Caenorhabditis elegans: one gene and its partners. The protein of the gene in region 1 interacts with the protein of each later gene in a pairwise test. Each region holds a gene or a part of one and is shown in the gene's direction. Other genes may lie near its edges. The genes, in order: insc-1, ceh-45 and grsp-2.

What was found.
Region 2: the proteins of insc-1 (region 1) and ceh-45 interact in a two-hybrid assay, tested with the Caenorhabditis elegans proteins (one large-scale study listed by BioGRID).
Region 3: the proteins of insc-1 (region 1) and grsp-2 interact in a two-hybrid assay, tested with the Caenorhabditis elegans proteins (one large-scale study listed by BioGRID).

What each region holds. Positions count from the first base shown.
Region 1 is NC_003280.10:7,356,376-7,364,992, forward strand, and holds insc-1 (Protein inscuteable homologue C-terminal domain-containing protein), read left to right. Parts: upstream 1-2,537; coding exon 2,538-2,612; intron 2,613-2,823; coding exon 2,824-2,993; intron 2,994-3,578; coding exon 3,579-3,676; intron 3,677-3,721; coding exon 3,722-3,832; intron 3,833-4,211; coding exon 4,212-4,252; intron 4,253-4,365; coding exon 4,366-4,510; intron 4,511-4,562; coding exon 4,563-4,677; intron 4,678-4,729; coding exon 4,730-4,920; intron 4,921-4,967; coding exon 4,968-5,062; intron 5,063-5,107; coding exon 5,108-5,208; intron 5,209-5,256; coding exon 5,257-5,356; intron 5,357-5,407; coding exon 5,408-5,653; intron 5,654-5,734; coding exon 5,735-5,888; intron 5,889-5,935; coding exon 5,936-6,038; intron 6,039-6,348; coding exon 6,349-6,629; intron 6,630-6,677; coding exon 6,678-6,799; downstream 6,800-8,617. Other genes in the region: haf-2 (ABC-type antigen peptide transporter), read right to left, coding at 1-51; msra-1 (peptide-methionine (S)-S-oxide reductase), read right to left, coding at 6,902-7,276, 7,410-7,658.
Region 2 is NC_003279.8:1,125,407-1,133,063, forward strand, and holds ceh-45 (Homeobox domain-containing protein), read left to right. Parts: upstream 1-2,917; 5' UTR 2,918-2,952; coding exon 2,953-3,020; intron 3,021-3,803; coding exon 3,804-3,988; intron 3,989-4,399; coding exon 4,400-4,608; intron 4,609-5,815; coding exon 5,816-5,881; intron 5,882-6,066; coding exon 6,067-6,228; 3' UTR 6,229-6,359; downstream 6,360-7,657.
Region 3 is NC_003282.8:8,813,278-8,819,727, forward strand, and holds grsp-2 (Glycine-rich cell wall structural protein 1.8-like), read left to right. Parts: upstream 1-3,070; coding exon 3,071-3,125; intron 3,126-3,360; coding exon 3,361-3,612; intron 3,613-3,807; coding exon 3,808-3,954; intron 3,955-4,075; coding exon 4,076-4,282; intron 4,283-4,516; coding exon 4,517-4,603; intron 4,604-4,650; coding exon 4,651-4,716; coding exon of another isoform or gene 4,717-4,727; exon of another isoform or gene 4,728-4,840; coding exon 4,841-4,876; exon of another isoform or gene 4,877-5,028; coding exon 5,029-5,096; downstream 5,097-6,450. Other genes in the region: exc-5 (DH domain-containing protein), read right to left, coding at 211-262; T28C6.10 (Transposase), read left to right, coding at 5,516-5,595, 5,638-5,812.

The sequences.
Region 1 (8,617 bases):
TGCATCAATTAGCATGTACAGGTATAACGACGTATTGATCCATCGGTGCATCTTAAAAAATTAAATCTAGAAATTTAACGCGATTCGAAAGAGGGAAAACGAAAATAAAAGAGCGATGTTTGCCTATTCACTCTCATAGGGAACGGCAAATGAACAAGACATCAGTATCAAAGACCAGAAACAGAAAATGGAGAAAAGCAAAAATATGGCATTTATAAAATGGGAGTTCTGAAATAAAATGTGATACACGAGACAATGGGCGGAGATTACGGCATGATTACGAAATATGAGGAAACACTAGGAATGACTCATGCACTAAATTATTGTTTTAACAAAAAGTCGATAATTATATTGAATTCTCAAAAATACTATAGAGATCAACTGTGCTTGTAAAACTTCAATAAATGTTGGTTTAGAATTTTAATTAATTCTTATCGGATAATAAAAATTTGGCTCAAATTCTCAATTTTTAGGTCCGGTCTTTATTTTAAATAGTTTTCCTAGAAACAAGGTTTGTGAAATAACAGAAAAATCTAGCAATTTTCTACGATAAAACTTGAAAACTAGAAAACGTAGCTTTTACATCTACAGTAAAATTCAGAAAAGTGCTTTGTCGATTTACGATAAACAACGCGACGAGTGTCATTTCGGAGTTTCGTTATTCAAGTTGCCTGTGCCCTCTACATCTTGTACACTGTCTCGCGTTCTGAAAAATTTCCAGGCCTAGAAAATGATTCAAGTGAAGCCTGAAATATAATCTTGATATTTTTCCAAAGATAATTGATACAATGTTCTTTTGTAAATAAATCCTTTTGTAATTTTCATATTATTCTAATGCTTTTTGGGGAAAGGTTTTCGGAAAAAAGGTTTCCGCATTCTAAAAATATTCCAGACAATCCCTATTTGATGAACAATTGGTGGTGGTGGGCGCAAAAATCCACTTGGAAATCAACCATATGTCACTCATCAACCCCACTGTTTTGTGACGTTTTGATGCGGAGCCAGAAGGAAAAGAGACACTCATTTATCTTTTTTATCATCAAGAAGCGGAGAATCACAGCGGGTTTTTTGGCTGATTTATATCCTCTATGAACCCACGAGATAGGTGTTATTCTCCCAAATCACACCGTTTATTGCCCTTTAAATTTTAATAGGTTTTAGAGAATTCTACAGTAGTCAGAAAAATACGTGTTGTTTAAACTTATTGTTAGAACAAAACGAAATTCTAGCTGTTCAGTGGAGGCACTCATCATAAAAAAAGTTAATTATCTTTGCAGGAACAGTAGACAAAAACTTATTAGCAATAACCTTTAGTTTCTTCTAGGAACAATTGTGTTTTAGTGTAATTAGGTTACCTGGGGGTATATATCATGTAGAATGAGCATTTTTCGCTTATAGAAATTTATTTGAAGAGTCTCTTCAAAATATACAAAAAAATTAGATTTCACTTCTAGAAGCTTCTGCCTAAACTTAAACATAATTTAAACTTTTAAATTAAAACTTCAAACTTTTTTAAACTTTGTTAAACTTGAAAATCACAGATTTTTTTAAAATTTGACCAAACTCCGGAGTTTAGGTCTGAGGTAGGCGCGTTTATCAAATCATACCTGAAGCTCTAGTAAATTTAAATCTATATATTCAACTGAAAAAGTTTATTGAAAAGTGTAGAAATTCAGCTTTGTGGCATGATTAAATCACCAGTTGGTATTTTGTTGGAAAAAAAATGTTTAGACACACTTTTGGTAAATTGCCAAAAAATGCCAAAACGTGTGATTTGAACACCATCTATAGCTTATAATATTTGCGTAAATATACATTTTTATTAGTCTTCCAAAGACGATATGACATTAATTTTCATTTTAACTCTAAAATTTTTTTCTGTTTTTAAATGTTCTGATACTTATAATATATTCAAGATTTTTTATAAATTAAAATTAAAGTCTGCACATCTTATCATATTATGTAGTACACAAATTGCTCCTGTGGGTGCTCATCTTGCTCTCTTTCTCTCTATTTCTGAGATATTGTGACCTCTACCCTTCCGCCTGCTTTGTAACTCACCAGCTGATTTGCATTCCCTCAAAACATGTCCAATGCATTCAACTAGACCGGAACCCAATTGGCATATTTGCTCCACAAATTTTTTGACATTTCGTTTTTTTTCGTTCAATCTTACTTCCGCCTGCCTCCCGCGTCCCACGTCGATTCATCTCTTCTCACTTGCCGCGCGCATGAACTGATCCCGAATAGAGAAGTCTATGTTTGTTTTGAGAAACTCATCATTTATCACCTTCACTTTTCTCTGTGTCTCTCTATTTCATACAATATTCACAAGGTCCCGATGGGCTTCCCACTTGGATATTATCGCGCATTGACAAGAAGAGACACACTTCTTACAACAATATCTTTATAAAATTATGAATATACTTGGAGCGTCCTAGTGAAAGTGACAACTAATAATTAGAACTGCTCGTTTCTTTCACTTTTCATTCTTTCTTTTCAATTTTTACTTTTTTCAGCTAAATGCTCATATAAACATGGCCCGATTGGCCCGATTCTGGGATTCCCTGGAAAACGAGAATTTATTCGATATAGTTCCACAACCTCCAAAGGTCTCAATTTATTGTTATTAAAATTTATAATAGAAAGAAATAAAAAAAAGAGACCCTTCTAAACTTTAGGCTTTACTTGAAAAATGCTTTCAAAAAATTATTGTTAACTGATACAAAGAAGCAATCTCTTGGAAATATTTTTGATGAGCTTGAAACATTGCAAAAATCAGAAATCAGATGAAAACTGTTTATTAATAAAAATTAATTTCAGTCTACTGTAACCCGGTTTCATCAGCAATGGCTCTCAAGTTTGGCAAATGCCCGAGACGACGAGCTCCAAACAATTTTATATGCAAAACCATTGCTTCCAACTCCGGAATCTATCGTACAATTACCCGATGAAGAATATTATGGAGCCAAGAAAATCTCGGTCGGCTACAGGTAAAGTGGTTGTTTGTTGTTCAATGCACAGGGAGTCGGGTTACCCGACTAGTTGCGGTCATTCAAATCATTTTGCTCTTCTTTTTCGCTTTACAAGCTTCTTCTTCTTTACTTTAATGAAATATTTTAGCAAAAATTTTGTAATTAATTTTTGTTGTGTTCCGCCAAGAAATTGGATGCGAACAGGTGTCATCTTGGCCGCCATCTTCAAATAATTAATGACTTTTCTCAAGTTGTTGAGCATGTCTCTTTCCGAGATTCTTTGTTACTTTCTATCAATATCTCTCGTCTCGTATAAAGTTCTTATATACAGAAGTTTGAGAAATAAGTTATTTTATCCACATTTTCTTTCAAGCTTCCAACTCCAAAAGTCAAATCAAAAAAGCAAACAGTAGCTATTGGTGCGAAAAGATATTTACCGCGCGGAATGGGAAAGAGATAGTTTGCAATTTGATCCGCATTAAGAATAAATTCATTATTTCATTCATTTGTAGTATTATTGATTACTTTCAAATCAATGGTTCTTCGGTAATTCAAATCATCAAAATTTTAAAATATATAAATTAATTGTTATTTTATTTTCAGCAAATCAATGTTATCAACTTCATTGGGCAATATATCAGCTCCTCCAAAACCTCAAAGGAGGATAGCAAGGCTACGAAGTGGAGCAAATGATTGTGCAGGTAGTAACAAAATGAAAATTACTTTATAAATGTTACAACTTTCAGCAAGTCTTCCTCAATTGTTGGAAAGGAATTCTATCGCTGAGATGATGAACAACAGTCTGAGTGACAAGTATAACTCAAGTAGCACTACTTTGTGCTCGTCCGTTCATGCTGGTAAATATTTTGTGGAGAATTTAAAAGTTGATAACGATAGTGAGAGAGCTAAAACACGTCAAATGCCCTTAAATTTTTCAGAAAGAAAGAAACTTGATACCTTGCAAAAATGAAATTATTCTGGATTTTAGGCAGTATCATTTTTTCAATTTTTGCGCAATACAATTTTAACGATTTTTTCTTGAATTCATCTGGACTAGATAGAAAACAATGCAACTTAAAAAAAGGAATCAAGAAACAAAAAGTTGACTCCCAACATAAATTTTATGAACTCTCTTTTCCTTAAACTTTCCCTAGAGCACTGGGAAAACTTGCGGCATAAAAATGCTTTCAAGTTTTGAACATTTCCGTCCTGTTTCTCAAACTCGAGTTTTTATAGAGTCTTGCCCAACGGACACCGAGGATGCAATAATTCGAAATGTGAGTTCACTTTCTTTTATTCCTTCGTTTTTTCTCGTTTTCTATCCCTTCACCACCCCTTAAATTTTATCTTAATTGCTTCGTTGATTGGCAACACATGTTGAACCATTCAGATCAAGTTGCCCGGCTTCCGAGGAAACATTTCACGAGCTCTGAGCCAAAAGAGCAACTCTCCATCTGGTTGTCGAACACCAACTCCTAAAACAGCGCCTCCGTCGTATGAACAGTTTCAGGTTTTGCGACGGAATTCTATGAAATGTGAGTAATTTTTATTTCGTTATCTTTTGCTGGAAAAATTGAATTTTTTCAGCTAGTGTGCAACCACAAAGAAATGGAATTTTGTCTCCGGCCCCACCAGTTCCAACTTCTTCAAGAGCAAACACAATAACTGTTAATGGAGCACATGTTCAACAGGCAATGAACAGGTACTAAATAATTATTTTTAACATTAAAGATAAAATAATTTTGCAATTACAGAATAGACATGAGCACTGACAGCGCAAATACAATTCTCCGATCTCCATACAGTACTCGTTCGGATAGCATCACAAGTGTCGACTCTGGACAATGTTCCGGAGATCAAATCGAACGAAGATCAAATTGTTCAACTCGACAAGAAAGTAAAGATGATGATGATACAGGGATGCCAAGCTATGCGAGAATGGCTAGTCAGTAGTCATTATTTGGAAATTGAATTTTTAAAGAGAAAATTCAGGTACAATGGATCATGTTCTCAGAACATCATCTGCTTTGTATACTCTTCTTTCTTCAGCTCTGGATCCAGCAACTTGCAGAGATTTGTTGGCAAAGGTATTTTGTGCATACTGAATTAAGTTACAAAAGTTAATATTTAAGTCTTCTGTGTTCATCCAACTGCTTGAATCATCTCCATGTACAAATTATCTTCCAAAGACTGAAATGGCTCGATTAAAAATGAATGTTCAAGAGTTACAAAAGTAAATCTATTATTGAAACAAATTAAATGTTACCTTACGTTTTTCCAGAAATCGAGATAAAGGAATAATTGACATGAATAATATGACAAACTTTTTTGCGATTCTTCTCAGAAAGTCTATAGAATCAGTACTTTTGGTGTTTGTGAGGGTAAGTTACTTTTAGTTTAACTATTCAATTCATTCAAATATTTAATTTCAGATAATATCCAAGAATCTATGTGAAAGTAATGGAAAAGATCGTCTGACACCTATTTGTTTAGAGCATCTTATTCATATTTGTTTATTTGGAGATGAACTTTGTATTGAAGCAATTCAAAAAGGATGCATCTCATCAGTTATTCGAATTATGAAGAATGATCAACCACAGGAGAACACTCTTAGATTTTTACTTCGAACATTGGCAGTGTTATGTGGAGTTTCAAAAGGAGCACTTGCTTTGCTCACGGTAATTAGATATATTTTATAATCAATACTTTTCAATACAAATTCAATACAAATTCAATCAATACAAATTGATTAATTTCAGCAAGGAGGCTTGGATTTGGTTATTGATAGACTTTTATCCATTTCCTCATCAATCTGTTCCGTCGAGGCAGCTGGTATTCTGACACAACTTACCAATCCTCAGTCTGCATTCATTCGGTTAAATCATGTGGAACCAATTATATCCAGACTTTTGGGTAACCAATTTAAATATAAAAATTGGAGACTAAATAATTAATTTCAGATCTAATAGATCAATGTAAATCAGGTGACTCTTTGCTTTTGGCAACCGCTGCATTGAACAATGTGACACTTCAGAACCCAAATGGAGTTGATATTATGTACAGGTTTGTTGAATTTTAAGCATTTAACTATTTTCGCAAAAGCTCAGTACAAAATTAAATTTGAACCAACATTAAATTGAGCTATAGCACGTAATTGTAGAAAATGAATGCAAAATTTCAAGGCGAATTCCTTGTTCTAACTTTTGTAGCAATTGCTACAAGTTACCTAGAAACTACAAAACGGTAAACCAGCCTACCAGATAAAACTGAAAACAGTCTCGAATTTAAAAAAAAATCTGAAAATTTATAGGATCGCTCTCTATTTTGGGATTTTGAAAAGTTTTTTGCAACATGTAAATGTAAATATTTTCAGAAATAATTCAATTCGTCGTCTGATATCTGCTTATAATCGAGAAAATTGTGCCACTGTCTTCGTCCAGGAACAAATTGTTACAGCCTTTTCTCGCCTTGCCGCCCGTCATTTAGATCATCAAATGGTTGATCAAAATGCAATTCCAGTGCTTCTTGAATTTTTATCCCTTACCCATCCAATCCATGCGGATTACTGTAGAAGGATACGGTACAAAGCTGCTGTATGTATTGGTACTTTAGCTAACAGTGAAATTGGGCTCAAAGCCTTGTATGGTAATAATGGTGAGATTTTCAGAATTATTCAACGTTTCATATATGTTCAAGTTACAGCCTACGCAATTTTGAGCAATGTGCTTTATGATGACAACAACTCTTCAAATCCATTTAATATGATATGCAACAATATTCGCACAAAGTTGGAATCTAAATACCAATCTGAAAGTGCAGTATAATATTCAAATATCTTCCTTTGTTAAACAAACAAACACAAGAATCTGTGATAAAATAAAATTCATTGAAAACCTGATAAAAGTTCGATTGTACATTCATATAATTTAAGCATGACAGTTTCTTGGATCTCCTCCTGACAGAGCATAGTCCTTCACCTTATTGACAAAAGAATCCTTTAATCCGTACTCTTTTGCAAGACGCTCAAGATCGTGGAAGTCCTGGAAGCCAGCACAATATGCGTTCAATTTTGTGGCAAGTTCTCCTTCAGCAACTTGAGTATCAAGAAGAGACAGTTCATCGAAAAGAATCTTCTTTTGACGGAACCAATATTTTTGATGGTAATCTTCAGCTTGATAGAACTTGTCCAATGGCTCAATATATGTTTCAATGTCTCCATGCTTGTCCTTTGCTACTTTCAAAGTTTCTTCAGCGACTTTCTTTTGGTCGTCATTTACGTAGAGAATCGCAGATTGGTATTGCTGAAATTGAAACGAATTAATTTGAAGTTTAAATGTATTTTAACCTAAAAAATTATAATCAATTAGAACTTACTTTTTGTTACGTTTTCCAGTAGAACAATATTTGAAACTTTAAAGTCAATTCGAAAATTACCTTCTTTCTCCTTTCAGCTGGGTTGTGATGCTTCCAAAAGAAGTTGGTGAGCTTTGAGTATTCAATAACTTTTGGATCAAAAGTGATCTCTGTGATTTCAGTATGATCCTTGATATTCTTATAAGTAGGATTTGGTTGTTTTCCTCCAGCATATCCAACTCGTGTCACCACAACTCCTTTCAGCTTCGCCCATGCAGATTCTCCCCAGAAGCACTGAAGACCAAAATAGGCACGCTCCAAATAAGCCATGTTTCACCTGAAATTATATCGGATTGAAAAAGGTTTTGAGTTTATAAAGGAATTAAAAAATTAGTAAACAATGTAAAAACGTATGTTTCACAGTCAATTTATATACAAATCGGGGCGGAATCAAAATGTGATTCCTGTAAATTTTGCGATTACATCAGAAAGAGGAAAGAGACGCAGAGGGAATCGATGAAGAAGACAAGTAGAAAAGAAAACATACAATGTTAGACGCAGGCATATAGACACGACATGCTTTATCATCATTCTGCCAGCAGTGGTAGACGAAGAAAAAGCAGATGGCCAGTCAGAAATGATGACATAGATCGCTTTTTGGTAAAGATGTTTCTTTTGATGATATTGAGTACACGTTGGGTTCAATGGACAATAACTGAGCTTTTCCATGAACTTTCTTTTGATCAAAATAGTTTCTAATTTTAGGCCCTGTATTTTTCGTTAGAAATTGCAAAATGTTCAATGTACAAATGAATAAGTTATACCTAGTTGACGGAGCTCTTTCACTTGTGAGAACATTGAACTTTTCCTCGTCTTACAACAATCGTTTTTTTTTGTTTATTCGATTAGCTAAAAAACAATTAATCAAAAAACTATGAAAAATAAATGAAATTTCCGAAAGTTTGAACCTACAGTACTCATTAAAGGCGCACGCCTGTTCGTATTGTACAAAAATCTGTCGTGTCAAGACCGGGGTTGGCTCAAAAACCCTAAAACCTCGTGTCTGGTTAATAAAGGATATTTCCAGAAAAAAAGTGAAATGGAAACCTAAGTTATTTCTGAACTATTAAAATATAGTGTGCTCTTGGATCTTGATAATTTACTATGACTTCAGCAGCTTTATCTAATTCCATGTCTTCTTGTTTTCGCAATGTATTTTGTATTTCACGGATGGAACGTTGACGAAGATAATCTAGATTCGCTAGTTCAGCAGTTATATCATCAAGAAC
Region 2 (7,657 bases), on another chromosome or scaffold:
AGGGAAATTTTTTTGAATTTTTTCACATTGATATTCGGAATTAGTAAAAAATTTGGAGTCAATTAAAAATATTTTCCAGATTTCGGTACCCTACCTTTAATTGGAAAAATTGTCGAAAAAACAACCGAAAATTTTCAATATTTTCGTTTTTTATTCTATTTTAATCCAAATTTTAGAGGATTTTAAAAAAATAATTTTAGCATAATTTGGAAAAAAAATTAGGTGCGAACTTTTACCTCTAACATTTTTTGAAACAATTTTTTTCACAAAAAAATTGAACCTGAAAACGATTGAAATTGTGGTTACACTAAGAAAGTTAAAAATTGTTTTTTTTTAATTTCAAAAACAATAGACAAAAATACTAACCAATGTGAACCTAAGACTATCAAAGCCCATACCATGGTCTACCTTCAAGGCCTGCCTTGTACCTATCAAGGCATTCATTTTGCCTACACGCATGCCTACTCTAAAAACCAACAACATTTGAACTTGGAAAAAGAAAAGTAAATCTGCCGTCAAAGCGACCTACGCCTACCGCGTGCCTATATAATTTTAAAATTTATTTTCCTCTGTGTACGCCTTCTGTTCAAAAAAAAACCTTAATGTACAAAAATCCAAAAACCTCAGTGGCCTGGAATTTTGAAATTTAAAATTTTAAGCCTCTAAAATTTGGAAAGCGAAGCTAAACATATTTTCGAAGAATTGAAAAAAAAAACTTTATTCAACCAGTTTTTTTCAAAAAAAAATCGGCCCTTTCCCAAAATTCCTTGACGATTTTCATACTTTGATACAACTTTTATAATTTATATTTTATCTCTCCATGAAAACGGTAAACACAGGATTAACGGAATGTTTCCATGGTATAGAAGGAGTTAATCCAATAGACCCCTAGACTAGTACATCTTCTTATCCATATAGTCTACAGTAACATTATAATATTTACACACCTCTCCCCCATCTCAACACTTTTTTCTTGTTACTTATGGGGTAATGTTTGACACAGGAAGCACGGGCGGTGCTCTTGGGCAAAGGTGTCAGGGGGAGGCTCTCAGCGGGAGGTAGCATTAACACCTTAACTCGTCTGGTGGGAAAGTATACTGTATTGAAAGAGTTTTAGGTGAGTATAAGTCATTATCTATACATTTTGACTCGTGGAAGAGTTTTTAGAGAATTTTAGACCACAAGAACAGTTATAGTCAATCTTTAAAATAAAAACTCGGACAAAAAATTTTTCAAACTTTTTTTTTTTGATGAATTCTCTTAAGTTCTGCGGTAAAAAATCCTAAAAAGGGTAAATTTAACACTCTAACACTACTCCTAAGCCTAAGCCTAAGCCTATGCCTAGCACAAGCCTAAGCCTAAGCCTCAGCCTAAACCTAAGCAAAAGCCTAAACCTAAGCCTAAACCTAAGCAAAAGCCTAAGTCTAGGCCTAAGCCTAAGCCTAAACCTAAGCCTAAGCCTAAGCCTAAGCCTAAGCCTAATACTAAGCCTAATCCTAAGTTTTTCCAGACCCCCTTATTCAATTTCAGCCGCCCCATTCTGAAGGGACACCTGTGTATAATAAGGGGAATGATCCGAATAAGGACGATCAGATATGAAAAGTAAGAAAATAAGGAAGGATCACCGACAGATATTCACACTTGAATGCACACCACCTTTCCCAAATTGAAACCCTCGCCCGAAGAAGGGACATGAGAATTGGAGAAACAGAGACATATTACATATTCTTGACACTGTGCCGCGCCGCCGTCAGGCAGTAAATCATGATAACTAATTGACAGAATGGAGAGACGGGTGTGTATGTATACAGGTTGACTAGTTGCCATGACATGTATATCTGGGTAAGAGCGAGTAGGCATGCCTGCCTTCATGGAATACCTTCAATGCCTACCTTGAGCCTATCAAGGCATGGCTTGTGCCTATTATTACACGTGGCGCCAGAGTTTGATCTACGTAGATCTACGAGACTTCTCAACTGATTTCGTATGGTTAAGAATGTGCTGAAGTCACGTTTTTTCGGGAAAAAATTCCCGCATTTTTTGTAGATCAAACCGCAATGGAACAGGCTGGCACCACGTGCAATTACTTTTCTTGTACCAATCAATGTGCCCTAAGACTATCAAAGCCTATCCCCACCTACCATGGTCTACCTTCAAGGCCTGCCTTGTACCTATCAAGGCATTCATTTTGCCTACACGCATGCCTACTCTAAAAACCAACAACATTTGAACTTGGAAAATAAAAAAATTCACCTGCCTTCAAAACGACCTCCGCCTACCGCGTGCCTATATAATTGCAAAATTTATTCTCCAATGTGTACTCCCATTGTACACCAAAATCTTAATGTACAAAAATACAAAAACCTGAGGGGCCTAGAATTTTAAAATTTGATATTCGAAATTCTAGGCCTTATTAAATATGAAAATAAAATGTGTGAACTCCTCTCGGACAAGTGAATATCTTCATTTTGAGGGTTCTCTTTAATTTTTCAATTTTAAGCTGTTTTCAGATATGTTTCACAAAATCTTGGTAGTCTAGAAAACCCCAATGGCCTAGAAATTGGAAAATCTAAGCCAAATCCTGGTCCTTGTAGTCGAGGAAATCCTTGTTTTAGGCTTTAGACCACAGACGTTCTAGGATTTTCGAAATGTATTTAAATACATTTATGACGTCATTTCTATACACTTTTCGATTTTCCGGCACGATGTTTAACGGAAAACTGAAATTCGAAATTCTAGGCCACCGATACAAGCAGGGGATCCTCAATGTTTCTCAATCTCTATTTATTCACACCTCTCTCCTCTCTTCCCCACTGCGCCAAACGTCGGCGCGCGACGAAGAAAGTGGGCGTGCCGGCCCAATCACCGCCAAAAGCACAAAAGTGGGCGGGCACTGATGATCTACGAGGGGAACAACACTGAAGAATCGCATCCCCCACTACGGTGTGACACATGGCATCCTTCCCGTTTTTAATGACACCTGAAACTATGAACAAATTGGTGACGCCGAATTCTGCAAGGTTGGTTCCTTTTTTTTTTGGTTCGTGTGAAGCCTTGGGGGGCTTTTAAAGGGGGTTCTGTAGTGTTAGTAAAGTACAATTTAGTATAAGCAAAAATCAAATAAAAAAGTTTTAAAAAAAAGTTTTTTGTTTCAAAAATTTTTTGTTTCAAAACTTGTTTCAAAAGTTTTTCCATTTTTTAAACATTTTTTTTTCACTTAAAATATTTTTTAAATAGGTTCGTACTCCACTCGGACAACTTATTAAAAAAAAAGAATTTTCTTACTGCCATAAATAATAATGAAAATTCAAGATTTTTTATACAAAATTCTAAACAAAATTTTGCACTACTTGTCCGAGAGAAGTACACCGGGGCCATTTCTACCTGAAATTTTAGATTTCTAAATTGTTTTTTTTTTTGAAAATTCACGGTGTTCTGGCGTTTCTCATTGAATTTTTCGTGCTCCATTGACAATCGCCCGCCTGACAACGCGTGGGAAAGTCGTGTACTCCACACGGACAGATGCACTTAGTTTTACAACTAAACTCAAGCCGCGACGCGACACGCAACGCGCCGTAAATCTACCCCAGATATGGCCGAGCCAAAATGACCTGGTTCTGCAAACTCTTCCATTTTGAAAATCAAAATCCTCCTAGAAAATTTCATGGTGTCCTAGGAATATTTTTAAAAAATATGTGAAGGGCTTTTCATGGAAGAGTTTTCCTCTGAAGACATTCTAGGCCACGGGGGTGAAAACAAAATTTTTCCATGTGTAATCCTCTCGGAACATCCCAATTTTCCAGTATCTCCTCGTCATCCTCCTCTCCGTCCACATCAACCTCATTCTCAATTGACACATTGCTCTCGAACCCGTTGGCCGGAATTCCGCAGCTTCACAATTTTCAAGATCCATTTGGAGCAGTGGGAGCCGCAGCGGCGGCTTCTGCCCTGCCATGGCAGTTTCATCCGGCTAATTATCCGTTTTTCTGTAAGTTTTTGTGTGGCCCACGTGGAGCGCATTTTTCGTTTTGTCGGTAATTTCAAAAAATCGCAAATTCGAATTTGGATAAGAACTTTTAAAAAAATCAATATCGCCCACGTCGATACACCGGTAGTTTATCAAAAGAGCGCACATGCTTCAATAACAATCTCCATTAGAACTAAACCACGTGGTGCCAGGCTGTCCCATCACGGTTTGATCTACAAAAAATGCGGGAATTTTTTGCCCAAAAATCGTGACGTCATGCTAAATCAGTTGAGAACTCTGCGTCTCTTCTCACGCATTTTTTGTAGATCAACGAAGATCAAGCCGAAATGAGACACTCTGACACCACGTGATAAACTAGAAGGAAGCGATGCTGAAAATGCGCTCTACTGTTCAAAAACTAAAATTTTTCAGCAATGCTCTGCGGACCACTAATGCCTCCATTCATGGCTCCATATCACCATCAACACTACGCCTCCCGACGAAAACGCCGGCATCGTACCATTTTCAGCGAGGAGCAGTTGAACATTTTGGAGACCACATTTTCAACGACACACTACCCGGACGCTACGACGAGAGAAGAGCTCGCGGTTCAGTGCTCATTGAAGGAAGAAAGAGTTGAGGTGAGTAAATGGAAGAGGAGTGACGTCACACCTAGGCCACCGATTTTGTAAGACTGGCTGGCCTAAATTAAATTCCTGGGGACTAGAAAATTCAATGGCCTAACAAAAGCGCGGAGCAATCCTTGGCCGTGTAGTTCTCTTGGGGCGGCTTTTCAGTAATTTTAAGATTATTTGAAACAGTTTTGAAAAGACCCGCAAAATCTAAATTCCGCGGATTTCAACCACCCGAGTTTTTTTCCAGAATTTTTTAAGCTTTTTGGTGGTTTTGAACGACATTTTGATGCAAATTAGACAAAAAAACTCGGGTAGTTGAAATCCGCGGAATCACATTTTCCCGGAAAATTTGTTTCCGCGGATTTCAACTACTCGAGTTTTTTTCTAAATTTTTGACAGTTTTTTGGTGGTTTTGAACAACATTTTAAAGATTTTTTAAAAATCTTATGCGAATTAGACTTAAAAACTTGGATAGTTGAAATCCACGGGACCGAAACCCCATAGAAATTGAATTTCGTGGATTTCAACTACCCGAGTTTTTTTCCGGAATTTTTAAAGCTTTTTGGTGGTTTTTAACCACATTTTGAAGGTCTTTTAAAAATCTTATGCGAAATAGACAAAAAACTCGGGTAGTTGAAATCCACGAAAGTGGGTTTTCCCGGATTTCAACTACCCGGGTTTTTACAGATTTCAAAGTTATTTTTTCGCAAAAAAAAAAACAATACCCGAACATTCCGGGTTAATGAGTCCATTAAACCCTATAATACCATATAGCTGTGTTTCTGAGGAAAACCGTCTGTGGGGTAATCTCTAATTACAACCTCTCACCTGCCTAAATCGTGTCGGCCCTTTTCAATTATTTCATCACCACCAACAGCTCTTCTTCTTCCGTTTATCTTCTTCCACCTGCCTCACTCACTTAACCCGGCAAATCTCAACCTGTAGAGGATGAGGGGGGCGCTGGAAGAGGAGTGACGTCGTCATAGTTCGGCCGCCGGCGCTGGCTTGATCTACGTAGATCTACAAGAAATGTGGCAGAGTTTTTGACTGATTTTGTATGGTTAAGAACGTGCTGACGTCACATAATTTTGGGTAAAAAATTCCCACATTTTTTGTAGATCAAATTGTAATGGGGCAGCCTAGCACCACGTGCCTTATCAATTGAATAATCGATTTTTAAAATAATATTCTTTAAATAAATTTTCTCTTCCAGGTCTGGTTCAAAAATCGTCGGGCAAAAGAGCGCAAGCAGAAGAAGGACGACAGTCGGACTTCTAAGGTAAGCTAGTACACTTTTTGAAAATTAATTTTCAAATGCGCTCTACTGTACTCTCACGGTCTCCCTCCATCACCGCCAAGAACGGTAAAATTGGCTCAGTGGTAGGCGCGGTTTTTTGTGTCAACAGTTTTTGGTTCAATACCCAATAGTGATTTTTTTTTACCTAAATTTCTCTACATTTTCAGCACAGCGGAGACGATTCCGAATGTGACGAGAGCGACGAGGACACCCGAAAAGTGAAACGGATAAAACGCGAAAATTCCAGCGGAAAAGAGACGAGCTCGCCCGAATCAAAAGCCTCACTGAAGACATCGCACAGCGAGAATTTGGTGTTGGAGCCTTGTTAGCATATAATTTGAATCTCTATTCCCCACCTAGCTGGAAATCCAGGCCACCCCCTCTTTATATTCTAGTCCCCCCCATCCCCTCTCATTTTGTCAAGTCAATAAATGTATGTGGCGAATTAATCCGATTCTAATCACGTTATCATTTTGTTGTGGTGGTTGGTTACTGTAGATAATCCCCCGTAAAATTCGCACCGCCCGACCGGTCTCTGGCGGATTACTGTAGCCGTTTGGGGGGAGAGGGGGGTTTGTAAGGAAAATCACATTGCTAAATTAATCGAATTAGCATTTTTATCAGCAACGATTTATGCGTGTGTGTGGAAGGTATTACTGTTTTAAAGAGGAAGTACGGTATTAAGATACCTACCCTGAAGGTAATCATGTGGAAATTTGATGATGTTCTCAACAGAGCGCGTTTGCACACCGCGGTGTGACACCTAGCTGTCTCCAGGCTCCCCTACGCCTCTCGCACCTGCCGCCGACCATTGGTGCGGCTCATGGCGCTGATTTAAGGCACCAGTCCCTTGTTCGGGGGTTCCACTCTCTTCAGTTTACTTTTGCATCGATGCACCAATCTGCAAATCCGGTCAAAATCCGCCGCACTAATCCCACCCGCTGCCGAAGGTCCCAAATCTTTTGCAAATTCTCGTGGGAAACGTTGCGAAGTCATTTTAAGAGGCTAATCCAATGTTTTCCAAAGAAATTAGAATTATTTCTGAATTATGAATGACAGAGAGGAAAGCAGATTCCAATTTTCGCTGTTAGAAAAAATATATGAGCGGGGTGTGGAAAAAGACACGGGCTCAGAAAGCACGGAAGCTCAAAGTGTCCCATTTTGGTTTGATCTTTGATCTTCGAAAAATTCGGGAAAAGAGACGCAGACTTTTCAACTGATTTCGCATGGTTAAGAGTGTGCTGACGTCACATTTTTAGGGCAAAAAATTCCCGCATTTTTTGTAGATCAAACTGTATTAAGACAGCCTGGCACCACGTGAGAAAGTTATAGTCTTGTGTTAATTTTTTTCTCGCGTGACTTTTCTGTGGGGCCGCGAAATTGTAAAAACTCGTTCATTGATCTACGAATGCAATTGCGTTCTACCGATAAATCATAATTCGTTAGCTCTGGAACCCAGATTTGCGTTTAATTCGAACAGCGGTCTCAAACAACATTGAAAATTGGATCAATTTGATCAGCAGTGTCTCATTTTAGATTGATCTACGTTGATCTATGATCTACAAAAAATGCGGGAGAAGAGACGCAAAGTTCTCAAGCTGACGTCACATTTTTCGGGCAAAAAATTCCCGCATTTTTTTGTAGATCAAACCGTAAGGAGACAGCCTGGCACTACGTGAATCAGAAGAAGTCTGCAAACTTCACTGAAACAAAATAACGTGGTGTCAGTCAGTCTCATTGCGGTTTGATCTACAAAAA
Region 3 (6,450 bases), on another chromosome or scaffold:
GCAATCGGTTAATACAAGTACCCTATTTTCTCTTGCACCCTCACAACCGGAAAAAAGAAACTTCAGAAGATAACTAAAAATTATGTGCAAGATAAATAGAGAATATACGGTACAAAATAACTTTTGGATAAGTTGTCAGATATAACTTTGAGCATTTAGATGAGTATCTAAAGTTTGTAAAACGAAAAAATCATTAAACTTGAAACTAACCGTGAGGATAATGCATTTGCTTGAAAAATGGTGGAGGCCGACCAGTTTGCATTTTCTCAATATTTTTAGAGATCAAAATTGCATGAAATTATTTAGAAGTAGTCTTAGTTAAATAACAAGTGATTTGAATAAGAAGAACACGAGATGAACATACACTCAGGTGATCCTAGTAGTTATTACACAAAATCTGAACTCAATTTATTCATTTTGCAAGTTGGTCAACTCGGGTCATCTCTTCTCTCCCTCTCTGCGTACTCTTTCTCTCTTGTGATAAGAGATAATGAGAAATTCAGATATATTACAGATCTTAGAGAGTTTAGAGATATAGTGGAACAGTTGCTTCACGAGGGGACCACAACTAGTCAGTGGGTGGAGTGAGTTGTCTAGGATTTGACTCAGATTTTGATGAGTAAAGGACCCATGTACCGTGGATACTTCAGACTAATAAGGAGCTATTATAAACTAACAAGGATCTTACAAAAATATTTAAAAATTGGTCATTTGAACTTTTGATCTTCTGTTTTGTGAAATCTTCCACATATTTGTAACTGGATCGTAATACAAACTAATAACGATTTCAGAGAATTGTGATAAATTAGCTAAAATTGTATGAAATTATATTAGCAGGTTTTTGTTAAGGTTTAAATTTAAAAAAAAACCTGTATACAGTGATCAGTGAGAAATTTTAGTTTTTGTTTCAGTTTTTGAAAAGTTATATCTCTGACTTTCACTTTCTTTAAAAAAAATTCTTTAAAAAAATTAAATCGGTAAGCAATATTACAAATTACAAATAAAATACAACCTACCACTATATTCTATAACCTAAATTCCAAGAAAAAAGAAAGAAACATACCAAAAACACATCAGAAAAAACTGAAAATAATAATGCAAACTCAATTATGATTAGCTCCTCAATGACTAAATTCCTCCCTAGAAAACCGAAAATCCATAGACATATGTGAAAGAAAAATATATATTTATAAATGCAACAGACGTGAATAATAATGCACATTTTATAACTAAAACTCAAAAAATGATATGAGAAAGAAACACCATCTTTTTTTCAAAAAATAACAATAAATTAGCAGAAATTTGAAACGTTTTGGGCCTGGAAATAACTAAAAATTACAGCCATTTTTGTCCCGCGACAGTCTGAACCAGGAATATTTTTTCTTGGAAAATTAGCTGCAATTGGCTGAAATTATGCCGAGAAGTGATCTGTTTGAAAACATATATGATTGAAGAAAGTTTCATGTGCATTGAATTTTGATTGATTGTTCCACAACTTTTGACAGTTCTGATTGATTGGCTAAGGGCATCTGGACGAACAAGCTCATAGACAGAGTTTTTCCTCTTTCGGGATATTTGACAGATTCCTTTTAAAAAGTTACTCATGAATACGTACTATAACGTTATAGTACTAAAAAGAGATTAGCCTTTCAGCTGGGGACAGACCAACGGCGGACCTCAGTTTGTTCGCCATGGAGCAGCCTGCGGCATTTTGAGCCAATTTTCAGTAATTCCGTTTTACCTGTGAAGAAACAAAAACCTCCCAATTTTCTATTTAAATGAGTTAATAGTGTTGGAAACATTTGCGCTGCTTTGACTGGTACTTTGATGAAGATTTGAGTATCGTGGAAAGAAAAAACTCTTTACAAAATAGTTATATCACTTCTGTACTTTGTAGTTACTCAGATTTATTTTTTTGATTCATTTTCCTCTCTAAAAATTACATTTTTGTGTTACAAAACAGAAGTCAGAAAATAAATGTATCCTATCACAGTTTCTGTTTAAATTCTGACCTATCGTTTCTTCTTGAAGTCATCACAAGTTTCCAACAATAATCAATCATTCAATCGTCTCCAAACACACACTGTTTCATAAACTGACCATTCTCGTCTTCTTCTTCTTTTTCATTTCCTTCTTGATTGCTATATACCCTGATAGTCTAGAGATCAACAACATTTGTTTCGGTTTTACCAGTTTTTTCTCACGAAGAATACGATTGAGTTTTGAATGTTTCAGGAATGGCTTTCTCAGACATTTTAAAGTTTATTATTAAAGCATATTAAAGTATATTAAAGCAAAATAAAATTCAATAAAGCAGTTCTATTCTAACTTTTAAAAAATTAAAATATGCATTTCCTGTATAAATATGGGCTTACTTATTTACATTGCAAACAATTTTTCGGCTGATGGGGCTCCCTCCTTTGGGGATCATCCCTGTTCCATTTTTGAGCTTCATCTAAAATTCCAATTTCTGGATACTGGAGCCCCAGAGTGGAATCTGAATAATGGAAAGCCGTGTAATCAGTATTGATATCAAAATTAACGTTTAACTTCAAGATCTTTAATAAACTGAAAAACAGAATACGAAACATAATTATTAGTTTGAACCGGAAGCAAGCCAAGAATTCGCAAAAAAAATTCTTCTTTTTAAAATATTCTCTTGAAATAGATTGAATGAATCATTTTGAACATTTTTAAGTGAACAATTATACCACCATGGCATTTTTTTTCAATTTTGATTTTTTTTGTCACAATTAGACGAATAAGCGGAAGTGAAGAGTGTATTATGGTAGTAACGGTCTGGATGCGTCATGTCATCATCTCCTTTGTCAAATGATAGATAGAAAGAAGAGGACAAATTGTTATTATCTTCAGTTGATGAAGATGGACGTATAAAAGGAAGAAACAAAATCAGACAATTTGATCAAACGACTGTGTCAAAACTATTCTCATTTTCCGTGATTTTTTATATTTCTCTGGTTTATAAAAGGATTATTACCGACAAAATCTTTTCCAGTTTCCACTTTTCGATATGTTTTAAAAATAATTTTATTTCAGCTTTGTATCAAAAATGAGGCTCACATTGCTGCTTCTTGCAGTAGTTTTAGCCTACGTGGCAGCTCAGGGTAAGAATTTTTATTAGGTACTTTTATTTAGTTATTTGCTTTGCTTTTCTAAAAGAATTTCAAATCGATTATTTTCTGCACGAAGTTGTGTTTTCTTTAAGTTTCTAACGCAACAATTCTAAAACATAACATTTTTGAAAGGAAAATTTACAATGATTTTGTGCTTAACATCACATTAAACACATTTGCAAATTTTGCTCACTTGCACTATCTCACACATCACAAAGTTTAACAGGATCCCCAGGTCGTCAAGGTATAAGCGGTGATTCAGGTGATGGTCTCTTTGGTGGATCTGATGCTGGAAGTGGAATCGGTTCATCTGGAGGATGGGGAGGATCTGATGCAAGTGCTGGAGCATCTGCAGGAGGAACAGGTGGCGGACGAGGTGGTGGTCGTGGAGGATCTGGAGGAGGACGCGGAGGTGGTAGCGGTGGTGGACGAGGAGGATCAGGAGGCGCAGGAGCTGGAGGATCTGGAAGTGGATCAGGTAAGGGGATTGCGGAATTCATGCACGGGCCTCACCTACTTTTTTCGGAGTTTTCACATCTCCCACCTCCTGAGTGAAACACATCTCATTTTAACCTTTAAAATATTGGAATTAAATTATTATACATACGAAAAAACACAGTATGATCATCGTCTTGTTATCTCATCACGTCTTACGAATGTTCAATGATTTTAGGTGGTTGGGGAGGCCAAGACGGTGGAAGTAGTGCTGGAGGATGGGGAGGATCACAAGGAGGCTCACAAGGTGGATCATCCGGTGGATGGGGAGGATCAAGTAGAAGTGATTCTGGATCCGGCCAAGGAGGATGGGGTGGACAACAAGGTTTGTGGGAAAAACATACAATATTGATTTTCAAAAAATTGATTGATTTCTATTTTTGAGAAAACTAAAGTTCAATGAATTTTGAAATTTTGAAGGTTATATGAAATTTAAACTATTTCAGGAGGCAACTCAAACGCCGGTGGATGGGGAGGCTCTCAAGGTGGCCAAAATGGTGGAGGTGGAAGAGGAGGATCCGGTGGTCAAGGCGGATGGGGAGGAAGCCAAGATGGCGGATCTCAAGGTGGATGGGGAGGACAGAATGGAGGAGGACAAGGTGGCAATCAAGGAGGTGGTGGTGGACGAGGAGGAAATCAAGGAGGTGAACAAGGTGAGTGATTTTATTATATTTTTGAATAAAAAGAAAAAGAAACAGAGATATAGAGTTGGGGCAAGAGGAGCTAAGAATTTGAAAACTTCACATTCGATGAGAGTGGGGAAGTGTGACTTGGAAAACCAAATAAGGTGATGCAAGTTTACCATCACAGTAAAGAACTTGTGAATAGGTTGATGAAAAGTTGAAAATCGTTTCAAAAAACATGCATAATTGATCACAATCTTCCAGGTGGATGGGGAGGACAAGGCGGATCACAAGGTGGCTCCCAAGGTGGTTCCCAAGGTGGATGGGGTAACCAAGGAGGTCAACAAGGAGGTTAGTGTTATCTTTTAATATATGTATAAAAACATTTCAACATTTAGGAGGTCGCGGTGGACAACAAGGTCCAGGAGGTTGGGGAGGCGGCGGAAGAGGAGGCGGATGGGGAGGTAAGAGTTGATTTTACTTTGCATTGAATTCATTATTACTCACATCACGTTATGTATCACATTGTTTTTTTCTTGGAAATCGAAATATTCGGGAAATTGATTCACTTTTTCACTACTAATTCAGGTCATGGTGGTGTTGGATGGGGTGGTAGAGGTGATGGTGAGTTGGAGTGTTTAGCAACCTTTGTTACCATAAACAGCTCATTAATTGTTTTATGTTAATTCGTTATAACCTTGTACATTCTCGTTTTTTTTTTAAATAACCCAAATTAATTTTTCCCCGATTTTATAATTTTGCAAATATTATTCCAGGATGGGGACGTGGATCCCGCTGGGGATGGGGACGCCCATCATGGGGTGGATGGGGACGTGGATGGTAAATGTCTTCAATATCAACTTTAATTTCAAACTAACTGCAATTGACACCTCAATCAAGTTTTGATTCGGAATCCCTAATGTATTACCTTTTTGTTTTGCAATACTTTTTGGCAAAAGTACTATAATAAAATCGTTGTTTTTTCTTGTTTAATTTGTTTGCTTGATATAATATATTTATAAATGTTACCTTCTCATAGTTTCCAAGACGTCATTATTGTTTTGCAATCTCCTGTTTCCTGTATTTTTCTATATACGACCGCCACTAGCAGTTGGTAATACCCAACGGTCTCTACGTCATCTATGTTATTCTAGCCTGCTGTCTGCCTACCTGTCTTCCTACTCATTTCCTATTCACCATTGTCTCCCTTAACCTCTTCCTAAAACTCAAAGCGGTTTCTTTTGACTTACTATTAGAAAAATTATGAGGCCGCAAAGAAATAGCAGAGAAGATCAACTACAGGAACAACTAAATAAAATCAAACGGGAATTGGACAACTACAAGTGAGTTGACATTGCGTTCAATGTTTAATGGGAAACTTCCAGACTTGAAAATTTTCTGTTGAAAGAAGAATTAATCATTTCTCAAAGTGCCATTCTGTTTGTGGACGATCAAAATAAGAAACTTGTGAAAAAGTGCCAAACTCTGAAGAAAAATGGAAAGCCTAAAAGAATGGGAATACTGGGATCTTTTACAAATTGGATTAAGTCTTTGTTTTGAAATTATACAGTTTTCTATATAACGTTAAATAAAATAAATTAATACATCCATTTGAAAAAATTGCTAACGAGTAAAAGTATTCGGTATAATGTTTGTGAAGTAAGCAGTTTTTCAATTCTATTTGCTACTGTTCAAAATCCGTAAATTTGTAAAACTGCGAGAATAAAAGGTATTTGAATTTTATTGTGCTTGCAAATAGTTCTAATTAGAAATGAAAAATCTTGTCCTTTTTTTTTTTGAAAATTCCAGATATGCGCGAAAATAAAGTTTTAAAACTTTCGCATCTATAATGCACTTTAGCTGTTCCTTGGATCATAAAAGTTAGCATATCTGATGCTCTGATTTTCTCTTGCATTATATTCCGGGATTACTGTGATTTCTTCTCACACTTTCAATATGTTATTCTCACCAGATTGCCATCAACCATTCCATCTAAAGAAGAAAAGAGCCTACTGCCGGCTGCTGACCTTCTCCATCTTTTCTCCCTCTGTATATCTCTAAACGTTCTCGTTGGTGCAAAGATGTTTGATTATCGACCCACCAAGAAGAACAAGGTGACCCGCACTCACTGCCCCAAGCCCTGTTCTTAATGATTTGCAAATAATTGCACATCACGCGGTCATCAACTCTCGCATACA